Linked DNA regions of Sus scrofa. The protein of the gene in region 2 binds, or shares a complex with, the protein of the main gene of each other region. Links are inferred from orthologs where the notes say so. Each region holds a gene or a part of one and is shown on either strand. Other genes may lie near its edges.

Region 1 (5,277 bases), on a different chromosome or scaffold from region 2:
TTAAGCTTTAAATAGTATCAGTTAGGGGGTACTTTGCTTTTCTGAAAATTAAAGTTCTTCTTTCACTAAGAGTATTTGATATTAGCCTAATTTTTTTCTAGAAATTATTTTTTCATTATTATGAAAGATATGGCAGATACTTTTCAAAGAAAAAATAATTTTGGTTTCATGAGTTCTTGCTCACTTCCATTTATAATAGCAATAGGTATCATTTATTAAATAGTACATGAGTTAGGTGACCTAGTTACTTCACCAGCATTTTATCTAATCCTTTACATTAATCCCTTTTTTTTAAACCACAAATATATTTTATCCTTATCTTCGAGGATACTGAGGCTAATTTTAGGTTAAATAACTTACCCCAGGTCTCACAGCTAGTAGATGGCAAACCCAAGACTCAAATCCAAGGCTCTCTGGCTTCAAGTTTATCCCACTTTACTGTATGGTTTTGCAACACTTTTTACACATTCATCTTTCCCATTTCTGTTTTTGCTCCCTATATACTGCCTCTGTCATTAGCACACCCCCCACTCATTTTTCAAAAGCATACTGCCATTTTCAGCAACAGTTATCTTCATAATAAAGGTATTTGGAAAATAAGAATTTTTAGAGATTTTAGTTATTTGTGTACCAAAATTAGACTATTTACTAACTTACGTTATTTGGAAGATACACATACACACATTCCTCTCATCATTCTGGGAAAAATATCTTTGCTTCAAAGTTGTCAACATGAACCACTGTTTTGCCAGTTTCCTATTACATTTTTAATTCAAGGTAATGGCTTGATTTTTGGTTTGGTTTTTCTTGTTTTGGAATTGGTTGAAATTATTGAGGAAGGATTTCAACAAATTTGGAATTGGTTGAAATTTTTAAGGAAAGTTTGAAAGACTTGACTGCAATTAAATGCAGTTATTTGGATAATTTTTCACCAAAAAAATCAGGAGTTATACACATAGAAAAAACACATTCATTGCATAGCCAAAAGTAAATTTCAGGTTGATAAACCTAAATGTATATACAAAAGCAAACTCTTTTAGAAATTAGAAGAAAAATATAAGAGATTATGTTTGTATTTTTGAGGTAAGAAAATATTTCTTAGAGAAGTTACACAAATCACAAGAAAAGATGGTTAAAGTTAATTGCATTGAATTTTTAAATGTCTGGACACCAAAAGATACTACAGAAGTGATGACTGATTAGGAGAGGAAAATGACAACACAATCATCAACACTATACGTAATTTATAAAGAGCTTCTAGAGTAAACAGTAAGGGAATGAACCAACTAAGAATGTGAGCACAAGCAATCCACCAGTGTAGTATCTCATGTCTTATAATGTGTAAAGATGTTTAACCTCCAGAAATTATGGAGTTCCCGTTGTGGCTCAGTGGAAACAAATATGACTAGTATCCATGAGGGTGCAGGTTCGATCCCTGGCCTTGCTCAGTGGGTTAAGGACCTGGCAATCTGATGAGTTTCAAAAGTTTATGTCTGATGGTATGGTGTCTGCCTGCGACTATTAAATTTATTGCTGCTAGTAGTATAAATACATATAGGTACTTTGGAGAGCAATATGGCAAATTAAGCATCTAGAGATACTCAGATTCATAAGAAGGCATGTACAAGATTGTTTATTGTAGCCTTGTTTATAATTACAAAAAAAGAAATGACAGATATCCATCAATAGGGGAAAGAATAATTGTGAGTATAAACAAAGGACTACAATACAAAAAAAAAATGAAACTAGAATTGATATCTTAACATGGATGAATCCTCATGATAGATGTTCAGTGAAGAAAGAGTGGCATAAGTATAATATGTTATTTATATAAAACTTGAAAATTACTCTGTATTGTCTACAAAGATATGTAGTAGAAGGATGAAGACATGCATGATTTTTTTTTGCATGGAGAAGAGTAGAGAGTCCAACCAGGGCAAGAGACAGGAACTTCGACTCTGTAAGTCTATATTTCATAAGCTGAGGAAGTGGTCCTTGACACTCATATTATTCTCTTACCTTTTTATATGTCAGAAATATTTTATAATGAAAGGAAAATGGAAGGGTAAGAGAAAGGGAGGAAACTACTGGGTACCTGAGTTCCTCCCTACACAGGAATGAAGGACAAGGATTGCCAAACTCTTTCACTGAAGTAAGGACCCTGGTCCCTGGTTTAAAAATGGGGAGTTTCTGGTAAAAATATGTCCCAAATATTACAATGTATACACTTAAACTAAGAAGTTACTCATTGTTTACCTGGAATTCAAATTTAATCAGATGCCATGCATTTTTATCTGCTAAATCTGCTAGCCCTATATATATGACTAAATCTGAATGTTGAATTAATTATACTTCAATTAAAGTTTTTTTTAAAAAAATAAGTAAAAATTAGATGTTATATAAGTTACAAATAAAGAAATCTTCAAATACAAGAGTTTTTTTGTTGAAAAAACAACTTGCTACAGAAAAGTGGACTCTGCTTTCAAGGAGAGTTGTTTATGTGTATAATTTGGGGTTTATTTATTTTTTTCTTTTTTATACACTCGAACATTAAAGTAACTGACTTCTATCACTTAACATTAACCTGGACTGGCTGACTGAATGCTAAGAAAGTTTATTCAAGTCACAGATCTACATTTTTGGTTTGGGTTTTGTTTGGTCTAGGGCTTTGAATAGTATCCTTTCTTATTTTTGGTCTCTTGTTGACCTTTTAAAATATTTTTCTTTTGAGGATTTGTAAACAAACAAGATATGCAAGGAAAGGGTGGAGAAGCAGCAAGAACTTTTTTTGTCCCTCTTTTTTTTTTTTTTTTTTTTTTTTTACCACCTGGCTGTTGTGAAGTTCCCAGGCCAGGGATCAGATCCCTTCTGCAATTGCAAACTATGCCATAGCTACAATGCTAGATCCTTAACCCACTGTGCTGGGCCATGGCATCAGGGGATAGAACCTGCATCTGGTGCTCCAGAGATGCTGATCCTGTTGTGCCATAGCAGGAACTCCAGCAAAAATTTTTTTGTGCTTTACATTTATACAGTTATATGGCATGTGACTTGAAATGCTGTATTTTAATAGAGCTAAAGATGAGAATATCTTTCTCAAACATTAATATTTAGTCTTCCAGAACTCTAAATAGTTTTGTTTAGTAATATTTCTAAAATGCCCAAATAACATGCAGTTGTTTTTCTGATCTGTATTTCCCTAGATGCTTGCTTTAAATCGTGTAACACCATCACACCCTTTTATGACTGCAACAGATCTGATGGAGGCAAACCAGCTGTGTAGCATGGACTCTAAAGCAAATATTGTACATGGTAAGAAACCTGCTTGGTTAGTAGTTTTTAAAATAAGTTTGAGTTTATATAATGGTATGCTTTTCAAAATTATAATTAATATTGGATATAGTGTTTTGTATACAGAATACTTTTATATCCATATATCCTTTAACTCAGCCTTTTAAAAATATTTATTATTATTCCCATTTAAAATGAGAGAAAGTTGACGCTCAGCCTCCCTTGTCACATTGGAAATCCAGCTAAGACTTTACTGCAGGTATTCTCATTACACCAAATGCTACAGAGGAGCATTGGCTTTTAGCCATTTGGGGTTCGTTGTCCCTTTTGAGAATCTAATGAACCTTCTCTCTAGGAAAAAAACAAACTAAGATATAATCTCCAGGGGATTAGAGATTCTGAATAATCAAGGGCCCTAAAGCTATTTAAAGTTACCTAATTGCAGCTCTAGTTGTGTTTACTGTGGGCCATATGCTGAGTGTTTGATAATATTATCTCTAATCCTTATAACATCTCTGAAAGTTTTACGTATATGAAAGTTAAGCTCTGGGAGGTTGAATAACTTGCTTAAGATTATATAGTGACTGAAACATGTTTGAACCTAGGGGATGTCTTGACTTCTCACCCCTCAAAACCATGATCTTTGACTTTACCTTTCTATTTGGAGGACAGTTATTTTAAAATTATATGTCAGTAAATAAACTACTATTCATAGTTTGTCTTCCTTTTATTATAGGTCTGTCAGTCTTGGAAATCTGTCTTATCATAGCGATGAAACATTTAAATGACATCTATGAAGAGGAGCCCTTTAATTTTCAAATGGTTTATAATGGTGAGATGAAACTTTAGTAGTTCCTTTTTGACTCTACCCCACTGCTTATTTGAAGGTACTAATGTTGTCATTGCTTTCTGTACAGAGTTTCAGAAGTTTGTTCAAAGGAAGGCCCATTCTGTTTACAATTTTGAGAAACCTGTTGTCATGAAGGTAGGGTTTTAAGTTCGCTATTATTCTTTTGCAGATAGTTACATTTTTACATCTAATTTGAGTGTATGTAACATACTTTCATTAATTTTGAAATATTAGCTATTATCATAGGATTTTTTTTCAAAACAGACCCCAAAAATAAAACTAAAAATGAAGTGTTTGAATAATTCTGAAGAATGCAGCCAGTTCTGTTTTAGTTTGTGGCAATATACTGCCCTCTACTGTCTCTTCCTAGCAGATGCATCACTCTTTACAGCCTGTCTCATAACACAGATATAACCCTATTCCCTTACAGTCATAGGGTTGGCTTTATAATCTCAGCAGTAAAAGCGACAGAATGAGTCATTAAGAAAATAAGTCAAAATCTCATTGACTTATGAGGGTATATAGAGAAAGATGTAGTGGGGCATGAATTTTAAAACCTGAGAAACTTTATTCTAGGATACATTGTCACCAGACATATAATGTGAACCACATAATGTAGCTTTATGTAATTTTTCTAATAGCAACAAAAAAGTGAAAAAGGTGAAATTAACTTGAAAAATAAATTTTGTTTAATATATCAAAAAATCTTTCAACCTATAATCATTACAGGAATTTTTTTTTTTTTTTTTTTTTTTTTTTTTTGCTTTTTAGGGCCATGCCTGCAGCATATAGAAGTTCCCAGGCTAGGGATCAGATCAGAGCTACAGCTGAGGGCCCACACCACAACCACAGCAACAAGCTGCATATGCAACCTACACCACAGCTCATGCACAACACCAGATCCTTTAACTCACTGAGTAAGGTCAGGGATCGAACATGTATCCTCATGGATACTAGTTGGGTTTGTTTCCACTGAGACACAATGGGAACTCTGAAGGAATTTTTCAACAGGTTGTAGTGAGGTCTCTGTCAGACTTCTAGGGAAACAGGAAACTGTCCTTTCCTCTATATCTATACCATTCTGCTGAATCATTTATAGGATCAGTTCAACAGGTGTACTCCTAGGGGTTTTCTCC
Region 2 (5,277 bases):
AATCTAAGAGATAGTATATTAAAGTTAAAGCCATTGTCACAGCGCTAGAAACATATTCCTGATGCTGCTTTGTCACTGGATGATTCTCCCACAAATAAACTGGCCTTGTATGAACCTAAAGATTTCCTAGGAATCAAGAATACTGATAAAAGAAAACTTCTGAATTCTAATAGCCTTAGGAAAAATAAGTAGCTACTGCTAAATTAACAACTGGTGCTACCAAAACATATCCTTATTAGAACAAAAAAGTACTATGGTTTTACTGTAATTCTAGACCTCTTCAATCATATGCCAATTTCCTGGTGGGAAAAAATGTCAATTTACATTTACCTGTGTGACATTCATGTACCAACTGGAAAGAGAATCCATGGAATAATGTGTCTTCTTCTGAGTGAACTGAACACTTTCTTTCTCTTTGGATGGCACATCTACATTGCAGTCCATCAATTGTGAGGTGAGCTTTTGCAAAAAATGCTTAATATCTGCAGAATATAAAATGTAAATAAATCATATCCCCTTAAAACAAATCTAAAACACCTGAAATTTCTTGATCAGTATATTAAACTATTTGGGTAGAATGTGTTTTTCTACAATTAACATTGACATAACATTTAACATACTAACTATTAAGGTTCATTAACATCCTCCCAATATTTAAATTTCATTAATTCAGACTAACACTAAAGTTTATGTCTATTGTCTATAAGAAAAGTATTACCTAAGCAAATGCATAAACCTGAAAACTATATATTATATTAGGAATAATATGTACTTATATAACACCGGACAGCAAAAGGTTTTGAAGGCTCGGGATTACTCTGTGAGGTACTGAACCTCATCCTGCCAAAAACTCAGTGTCATGCTCTTCCCACAAATAAAAAGGGATAAAGACAGCCAGAAAGAAGACGGAAGAGATGTGTAACATCTCATCAAGGTTATTAGAGCATTAATACTTCACCTGGACAATCTTTAGCTTGCAATGAGACTACATATGGAGTGACATTATTCTGAAGGGCTTCTGTTAGACTCCTGAATGTTAAGTCATGATCTGTTACATTCACACCTATGGGATAATAAATCAATATTATACCATCATTTTATCATTAATAATTTAATAACAAAAAAGCTATTTAACATGTCAAGTAAATTATGAAGTAAAAATATTTTTAAAACATGGTTAGTAACAAAAACTAAGAAAATATACCACAGAGATGAAGAGATCTCTATTAAAAGTAGACACGCAGAGGCACACACTAGCCAGGAAAGGTATTTAGCACAATTTTCCTTTCAAAAAACTACTGGGGACATATAGTTGAAGTAATTTAAAATTCACAGAGTTCTTTAAAACAGTCAATCAAAAATAAGGGCCTTACTGTGACCCTAACTTAACAACTGAGGAGAGGCCAATCATTAATACTATTAATGATCACAGTAATAAATACAAAAGGTGAAGTATATATTGAGTTGATTTTTGAGGGAAGAGTCTAAAAACTAATTAAAACTTTAGATCCTTTAAGTATTTACTGAATCCCTGGTTCTTTTTTTTGCTATTTCTTTGGGCCGCTCCTGTGGCATATGGAGGTTCCCAGGCTTGGGGTCGAATCGGAGCTGTAGCTGCCAGCCTACGCCAGAGCTATAGCAACGCAGGATCCGAGCCGCGTCTGCAACCTACACCACAGCTCACGGCAATGCCGGATCGTTAACCCACTGAGCAAGGGCAGGGACCGAACCTGCAACCTCATGGTTCCTAGTCGGATTCGTTAACCACTGCGCCACGACGGGAACTCCTGAATCCCTGGTTCTGATTTCCACAAACAGAGTTTTAGTGCTCTGCATGCAGTTACCAGAGTTGAGTGGAAACTTCCCTACTACTTTGGAAAAAAATTGTGATAACTGATGATTTCCCTAGCGTCACAATGTGTGAGTTCTAGGAAGTGCTTCGGTGCTTAGGCAGGGGCCAGCAGCTCACATCTTAAAACTGCTCTGAGACTTGCTACTATAAAACTTCAGCTGCTTGGAAGGAAAGAAAAAGGTTTCAGAATCACCCAGGCCACCACTAAGCAAATTTTTTTTTTTCTAGGAGACAAAAATGTTGACAGGGTATTTTTAAATGGACATATGCCTTTTTGAAAACAAAGATCCAACTGTGCTTAAGCATTCTTTTGAGTATAGATTCTTCTTTCTTATAGAATCAAAATGATATTCCTAGCATGCACTATGGTCTATGATTGTGATACGGTATCTCTGAACAAATTTGGGATTTTAGTAAAACACTGGCTTATCTTTCTTTACTGACTGACTTTATTAACTATTTAACGCTATGTTCCTTAAAACAATGGAACTGTCTATTGGAAACAAGATAATCAACAACGACTTTAACTGGAAAAATGTTCTCCTCCGACCACTGACTTTGAAACATATGATTTCAATTAGTTTCTTTTCTCCTTTTGGCAGTAGGTGGAGAACAGATTTAAACAGAGCTCTCACAACAATCAGGCCATCCCTCTTGATTGTGTTTCCCCTACTCCACCTCCAACTGCTTTAACCTGGCAGGAAAGAGACAAAGCACCCCACAGTACAAGTTGGCCATCAATGAGCCTCAGTTTCTCATCCAAAAATGGAAGAGGTTTGAAATCAAGTGGCAGGCAGCACTGAGGACCTGGTTCACAGCATTATAAATATCATTCTCTGGAGTCTTGTTCCTCAAAATGGTCCTGGAATTGGCAATATAAGCATGAGCTGTAAACCTGATAGAAATGCAGGATTTCGGAGTTCCCTGGTGGTGCAGTGGGTTAAGGACTCAGCACTGTCACTGCCATGGCTTGGGTCGCTGCTGTGGCACAGATACAATCTCTGGCCTGGGAACTTCCCTATTCCACAAGTGTAGCCAGAAGGAAAAAAAAAAGAAAGAAAAAGAAATGCAGAGTTTCACACACGCGCACGTGCGCACACACACACACCTGATCTATTAATGAAACTCTGAGTCTACTAAGATCCCATGGAGGTTATTTGTAGGTACATGAAAGTCTGAAAAGTATTGTCCTGAATATCAGGAATAAGATTTAGATAATGAACAGTACTAGAGGTAGTATTAAACAACAGAATTAATTTATCTCAGACCCTGAAAAAATAACAAATTGGAAGTACAATGAAGAGTATTTTTGGAATCCAAATAAATCCAACCCTTCCTTTCAAAAGGAATAAAGAAAATCTGCTAATATTTCAAAGACATTTTTTCTATTATCCTGCAATCCAGATGTTTGGTTAAAATGAGATATTAATGATGGATACACGTAAATACCTAAAAAATTTACAATCTGCAGTCTGAAAGCAATTTGTACACAGTTCATCCAAACCCATTTAAACAACTGATATTAACACAATATTACAATACAATCCAAGAATGAAAAAATAAGCACAGGGAAACAAAATTAAGATCACAGAGTAATTCCATTGAAGATATGGTTTTTAAAAAGTATAAAAATCAAATCTATTAACACACTGGTAGTTTATTACTGAATTCAAATCTCATATTAAAATAACTAAGGAAGGAGTTCCCGTCATGGCGTAGCAGAAATGAATCCCTCTAGGAAGGAGGGATTCTAGGTTGTAGGTTCTATTCCTGGCCTTGCTCAGTGGGTTAAGGATCCAGCGTTGCAGTGAGCTCTGGTGTAGGTTGCAGACTCAGCTTGGATCTGGCATTGCTGTGGCTCTGGAGTAGACTGGCAGCAACAGCTCGGATTAGACCCCTAGCCTGGGAACCTCCATATGTCGCTGGTGCGGCCCTATAAAAACAAAAAAACAAAACAAAAACAAGGAAGAAAGTAATACAAATATATTTTCTTTTCATTTTCTGACAAAAAGGTGAGACAGATGCTAACTCTAGATCAATTTTCTAAAATTTACAGGTGTATGATCAGTAAAAGGAACTTTTACCGGTTTTGAAAGCATGCAAACTTTAACGGTTTAGTTGTGTAAATGAAAGACATAAAACAGGTTATCGAAACAGGTGATCTCCCACTATTCTCAACAACAAAATCACCATTTAAAAAAAACAAACACACACATATGTACCTAGAACAAGAGCAGCAGCTGGAATTTCTCTGAGCTTTATTTGACAGCCCCAGTCTCTTGAATTCTTCTGGAATCCAGAATGAGATTTTTGCAGAAATTCAATTAGACTGTCAAACAGGTTTTTATTTAATTCCTCTTGTAGTTGCTACAAAGAAGACATAAAACTTTATGAATTATTGTTAGTAATAATCCGATGCATCTTTCCAAGTTTAGGAAAGAACACTGCCATGATTTCAGTTCCAAAGATCACATGTAAAATGACTATACAGTAGATGAAATTTAAAATTTTCCTTAAATCTATGCAGTGAATAGTACATTAAAGAATTTCATTTATTCATTTAGCAAACATTTACTAACCACCTTACAAATGAGTCTCTTTAAAAAAGTGAAGAAATTGAGCTAGAACACTTACATTGTGTGGAGCATTATGATAATATAGGAAAAAAGATTAAGGCCAGCCAATTAAAGCTGAGCAGGTGATATATTTGAGCCTAAGTACCAGAGTGGGTGATAGAGCAGGTAACAGTAGATGAAATAAAGTTAGAAGGAATGGGGACAGGAGGAGGCAAGCAGGGAAGAAAGTACCAAACATCTGGGGGAACCACAGTTATAGCTAAACATAAAAAACATAAAAAGTGGCTGGGAATGTAACTTGAAATACTCAATGAACTAGACCAAGAAAAAAATGTATTTATTTTTTTTCCTTTTTTTTTTTTTGGCTGCCCCAAGGCATATGGAGTTCCCGGGGCCAGGGATCAGATTCAAGCCGCAGTTGCAACCTAAGCCACAGCTGGAGCAACCCCAGATCCTTAACCCACTGTGCCTGGCCAGGATTCAAACCTGCGTCCCGGTGCTCCCAAGATGCCACCGATCCCTCTGTGCCACAGTGGGAACTCTAAGAAAATATATACTTGATGTCAAAGTGTTTGAATTTTATTCTGTGGGAAGAACTATTAAAGGAATCTGAAGCAGAGATATGATTAAATCAGGGTGAAAGAAGGGTTAATCTGGCTGCACTGTGAAGGCCATATTAGATGGGATCTGAAAGGCTCTACTAGTAATGGGGCTGGAAAACCCCCGTTCGTGCTACAGGGCTGGCTCTGCCTGACAGCATTTGGCCAGTGGTGGCAAAGGGTCTCGTGTCAGACCCTAAGGGTTTGACATCAGAAGCAGGTACATCAATTAAGAGGATATTATGACAAT
Region 3 (5,277 bases), on a different chromosome or scaffold from region 2:
GAGTTCATCATGGAGAAGGAGGGTTTGGTGAAAGGTGATGGAGATAATGGCTCATGCATCCCAAAGAAACTCTATTTTGAGGTGTGTTGAAGTGTGTGGAATGCTCCATTGTTAGATAAAGCTTTTAGGGCCTCTAGATTTTATTATCAATATTCTTTCCAGGAAAGACACATCTGTTTTTTGCTGTCATTTTCACACTGTATGTCTTTGAAGATTCAGCAACCAATTCTACCTCCTCCACAAATCTTTCCTTCCTCAACACTTCCCTGCAAGTTGTTTATTATCATATCTCACTTACTAGACACAAATACAATCACTTTTTAGCTTCTCTGCTCCAGCACTGTCCCCATCCCAAAAGTGGCACTCACCCATCCCCAATATCCTACAGTAAATTCTCAAAGAACACTGCTAATTGGCAAAGGGAAAGAATAAATGATTAAAGAAAAATAAACAAATAAATGAAATCTTTAAAAAATGAGTCCTAAATATGTAATTTAGCAAATGCAATCTCTTTTGCCAATCTCTGTCCTTTACAAATTTACAGGTGTTGAGGAATTTCAAAATATTCCCTAGATCTTCAAAACTGAGTGAAAAGAAATAATGATTACCTTAAGGAAAAACCTCTTGTCAGTTCTTGCTGGATTGTAAGAAGCGAGGTATGCAGCAATTAGAATAAACTTAGAGTAATATGGAAGTTCCACATGAGTACATGCCGAGAGACCTATACAACAAAAAAATTTTATGAAGGTATATAACAGGCTACCATTAGACTTTAAGTATCTCTTATCTTTTCCTTTGACTTCCATATGGTGTCCTCTAGTCAAAAGATTTTAAAGTGCCCTTAGCTCAAAGTGCCAGAATGATGGTGGCAGACGTGAACGTTATTATTAATGATATGCTCTGCTCATTCTATTTTTTTTGGCTCCTCCTCTTCTGAAGTCTAAATTCTATTCATCCTGCCCTGCAATGCCACATTCTCCATGAAACCTTCCTTGATGCTCCCCTATCACAACAAAACAGCAAATTTGTCTCTACTGTGAATTCCTACTTCGTGTATTTTACTTGTGGCCCACATAACTTTATACCTTATATTAAGAGCTAATTAAACAGAAGTTACATTTCTTACATTATAGTGTTCATTGAAGAAGCCATGGCTAATATGTTCTTTTTGTATCCCCACATTACCTTGTACAAATGAACTAAATGAATAGATAAATAAAACCAAAGAGTCAGTCAAAGCAGCAATGATTTTTATGGAAGGGAATAAAGGAATCTGATATTTACTAAATATCTAGTATGTGTAAAACATTGTGCTAGGTGCTTTACTTAAGCATCTCTGAATCTCTGCAGTAACTTAAAGCTCGAGTCTTTCCATTTTAGCTTTCTGAAGACACCAAGTTGGGCTCAAGATCACACAGGCAGTTGAACAAATTATTATAGATTTTTTAAAATTCCAGCATCTATTCCTTTCCATTATATAACACATAACTGAAAATCATTTAGCATCTCAAGCATTTAGAAACCAAAATAGAATCTCAATGCCACTTCATTTCATACCACTTGGCCCACCACTAGCTACTGACTCAACTGTTTAAATAAGAGTATTTTTTTAATTTATTTTTTAAACATAGCATTTTATTTTTTGTCTTTTTAGGGCTGCACCTATGGCATATGTAGGTTCCCAGGCTAGGGATCCAATCAGAGCTGTAGCCGCGGGTCTACACCAGAGCCACAGCACCACGGGATCTGATCCACATTTGTGACCTACATCACAGCTCACTGCAGATCCTTAACGCACTGAGTGAGGTCAGGGTTCGAATCTGCATCCTCATGAATGCTAGTAGGGTTCGTTAACCACCGAGCCATGACGGGAACTTCTAATAAAGAATACTTTAGATACCTACTTATTTAAAATAAATAAATAAGTTGGCCCTTAAATAAAAGGAGAGGGAGAGTGTTAGGGGCACTGAAACACCTCTCCTATGAAATAGAAAATCTGTATATAACTTTTGACTCCTCCAAAACTTAACTAGTAACAGCCTACTGTTGACTGGGACACTTACTGTTAATATAGACAATCAATTAACACATATTTTACATGTTTTATGTATATCTACATATATTTTATGCATTCATGACATACCTTATTTCCTTAATTTTTTTTGATATTTTTCTAGGCTATGCAGGTCATCTGTTTTTTTTTTTTTAATTGTTGTGTATCTTCAAATAATTTTCCAATATATTTATTGAAAAAAAAAATCTGTGTATAAGTGGACCCATGCAGCTCAAATCTGTGCTGTTCAAGGCTCAACTGTTGTTCTACTGGGATAAACCCAGAGTAACAGTTTCTTTGAAGAAAACAAAAGCACAAAGCTTTCAAAATATAACCACATGAAATTCATCCCCCAAACTACACTAACATAAAATTGAATTTATTCCATAAAACTTATGAAATCCATACAGAAATAAAATTGTGTTGTTTTAATATAAGCATTTAAAGAAATATAAACAGCTTGGTTTTCACATGACATAATTGAACATAAAACTGGTATTCAAACTTCACTTCCTCCCACTACATTAGTGCATTCCTTAAAAGAAAATCATTAATTAAAATATCATGGTGGCTTGTAAATTCTCTTATATAACACTACTGACTGACATTATCTTTAGTGCTAACTTTAGTGTCTTGATTATTAGTAATCAATTAAAGAAGAATCTCTGGTAATTGTCTCAATATTTCCTTTGATACCTTTCAGTTGTCCTGGATCTATGTCATCTTTCTGTAGCTTTTCCCACTGTGAACTGAAAGAAAATGGAAGAGCAATAAAGGATGGAAAACACAAAATCAATACACTGTACTTAAAACAGAGTCCTAGAAAAACTAATTTTAATTTGACAAAATAATTTCCTTATAAACAAGATAAATAACATATACATGTCTGTACCTCTACAAAATCATTTAGTACATAACAATATAAACGAATATATCAATACACAGATGTTGACTCTTTAAAATCTCCTCTATTCATAATTATAAAGCTATCAAAAAGCACCAACAAATAAGTATCACCTACCACTCAATAAAACTCCCAATATTCTAGTTATCATATTAAATACAACTGTTATAAATGGTTTCTAAACTCTGTAACAACTCCTACAGTAAGTATCATTACATCAAAAAAACTGAGGCCCACCGTTAAGTTGCCTAAGGATATGTTCCCCAGCCAGTCAGTAGTGGCGCTAAGAGCTGAATCCTTGTAAAACACCTGCAGAGTTCATGCTAACTCCAGGCCCAACTGTGATCTTACTTGCATTTAAAACTATTAAACAGCCCTAAATATTACTGAGAATAGAGAAGTGATATAACAAATCAATTTCATAGAGAAGCACATAACAATGACGGGCAAAGACTGCCCTGGCAACAGAAATACTGGCCGTATGACCCTAAATAAAGCAATAATCTCATTATAAAACTAGGCAGTTAGGCACAAGGATATTCAAAGACCCTCTACAACTCTCAAACTCTCTTACAACAGCCCTTAAAATACTAAATTAAGGAAGTTCCCTTGCGGCAGAGCAGGTTAAGGATCTGATGTTGCCACAGCTGTGGGGCAGGCTGCAACTACAGTGCAGGTTTGATCCCTGGACTGGGAATTTCCACATGCCGTGGCATGGCAAAAAAAAAAAAAAGACGCTAATTTAAAAATTAAAGCCGGGGGTTCTCATCGTGGCTCAGCAAAAATGAATCTGACTAGGAACCATGAGGTTGAGGGTTCGATCCCTGGCCTCACTCAGTGGGCTAAGGATCTGGAGTTGCTGTGCTGTGGTGTAGGTCATGGATGCGGCTCAAATCTGGTGTTGCTGTGGCTCTGGCACATAGGCCAGCGGCTACAGCTTTGACTGGAACCATAGCCTGGGAACCTCCATATGCCACGGCTTCAGCCCTAAAAATCAAAACAAAACAAAAAATAAATAAATAATTTAAAAAACCCAGATCAGAACAATTAAATACCCCAAATTAACTGTGTATATTTTTTCAAATCTTCAAGCACAGCTGAAAATCGTAGGAATATAGCAATGTAAGGAATTCTAAAGGCTACTAATGTATGTGGAGAACAGACCTACTTCAACAATCTTACTTTCCAGATCAATCATTTTCCCCACCTTATAGCTAAACAGTGCTTCACAAATAAGGCACTTTCACATTCATTTCTTCTTATAAATGCAAATAAAAATAAATTTTTATCAGTTACAATGTCATCTAACCAGACTTCGAGAGTTTAAATTGGTAAGATTTTTTTATATGGCAATTACCAATTTAATGTTATTTAAACTTTCAAAGGACAACCAGGGGAAAACTATCTTCAATGGGAAGAGAGAAAAATAACATTTACTTAATGTCTATTACGAACCCAGCTCTTAACATACTCCACTTAATCCTCATAAACTTACAAGACAGTATCATTGCTTTTTTCTTTTTTTTATTTTTTAAACAAATAACAAGACTGAGATCCAGAGAAATAAACTAATTTGACTAGGGCTGCAAAGCTTCTAAGAAGTGGAACCAGCATTTCAATTGAGACCTGTCTGATAAAAGAAGTCCATTCATGTTCTAAATAAATATATATGAACTACCAATTTCTAGAGGTGATGCAGAGTTATGGCAGATGTATTAAGTAGTTGTATTAGTTGAGGTCACATGGGTTAGAATTTTAAGATGAACCAGGGAACAAAGTTGGAGACTTTTTCATAATTTGTCCAAATTCCTTATAAAAGCTACAAAACATATATTCCCAATAATATCTTGCAGAATGAGGATCTAGCCTTCTATAGCTCTATTCTCCTTTTTCTTTATTCTGTTTATCACCATTATTTAATCTCAATTAGAAAAATGAGATACTGCTAACTCTGAAGATGCAGGAAGGCGCCATAAGCCCAGGAATGCGGGTAGCCTCCAGATGTGCCAAAAGGCAAACAGATTCTCTCAAAAGCCTTCAGAAGGAACCCAGCCCTTTTAAACTTCTGATATCTGGAATTGTAAGAATACATATGTGTGGTGTTTATGGTGATTTGTTACAGAGTAAGAGACTAGAGACAATCTCAGAAGTGACCACTCCGGGTTAAATAAAAAGATGAACCTTTTAATATGTACAGTCAAGTCTCTGTTTTACTTCTGGAAAGTTTTGTTGGATTAGAGTTTTAGATCTTAATTCAAACCCATTTTTCTCCTATTCTTTCTTCAGGAACTCCAAGTATATATCATCGTTTCACATTTAT

Evidence for each region. Proteins that work in one complex are often made in the same cells at the same time.
Region 1: the proteins of ORC3 (region 2) and ORC4 are in contact, whole or in part, in a cryo-EM structure (PDB 7JPO), measured with the Homo sapiens proteins. The link is inferred for Sus scrofa from reciprocal best matches to the Homo sapiens genes ORC3 and ORC4. Residues at the interface, in NP_036513.2 of Homo sapiens: Thr227, His260, Arg261, Leu262, Leu263, Pro264, His265, Ala266, Ser269; in NP_001177808.1 of Homo sapiens: Pro370, Lys374, Glu377, Gln381, Ser392, Gly393, Asn394, Ser395, Gln396, Arg397.
Region 3: the proteins of ORC3 (region 2) and ORC5 are in contact, whole or in part, in a cryo-EM structure (PDB 7JPO), measured with the Homo sapiens proteins. The link is inferred for Sus scrofa from reciprocal best matches to the Homo sapiens genes ORC3 and ORC5. Residues at the interface, in NP_036513.2 of Homo sapiens: Glu99, Val109, Met144, Lys145, Leu148, His178, Ser180, Met181, Asp182, Glu223, Asp232, Ile235, Ile236, Gln239, His240, Ala253, Thr254, Ser255, Pro256, Ile257, Ile258, Ile259, Arg261, His265, Ser269, Cys272, Ile273, Glu274, Leu275, Ser280; in NP_002544.1 of Homo sapiens: Asn62, Val64, Glu65, Phe67, Thr68, Arg70, Leu71, Gln75, Tyr129, Leu270, Arg271, Ser274, Ser275, Ser276, Gln277, Leu294, His297, Thr298, His299, Val300, Glu301, Leu302, Pro303, Tyr304, Tyr305, Ser306, Asp360, Tyr367, Arg373, Pro376.

Annotation. Positions count from the first base shown.
Region 1 is NC_010457.5:4,164,865-4,170,141, forward strand, and holds part of ORC4 (origin recognition complex subunit 4), read left to right. Parts: intron 1-3,203; coding exon 3,204-3,312; intron 3,313-4,027; coding exon 4,028-4,123; intron 4,124-4,208; coding exon 4,209-4,276; intron 4,277-5,277. UniProt on the Homo sapiens protein: Component of the origin recognition complex (ORC) that binds origins of replication. DNA-binding is ATP-dependent. The specific DNA sequences that define origins of replication have not been identified yet.
Region 2 is NC_010443.5:55,991,487-55,996,763, reverse strand, and holds part of ORC3 (origin recognition complex subunit 3), read right to left. Parts: intron 4,220-5,277; coding exon 4,075-4,219; intron 1,064-4,074; coding exon 959-1,063; intron 483-958; coding exon 331-482; intron 1-330. UniProt on the Homo sapiens protein: Component of the origin recognition complex (ORC) that binds origins of replication. DNA-binding is ATP-dependent. The specific DNA sequences that define origins of replication have not been identified yet.
Region 3 is NC_010451.4:104,127,928-104,133,204, forward strand, and holds part of ORC5 (origin recognition complex subunit 5), read right to left. Parts: intron 2,803-5,277; coding exon 2,750-2,802; intron 722-2,749; coding exon 609-721; intron 1-608. UniProt on the Homo sapiens protein: Component of the origin recognition complex (ORC) that binds origins of replication. DNA-binding is ATP-dependent. The specific DNA sequences that define origins of replication have not been identified yet.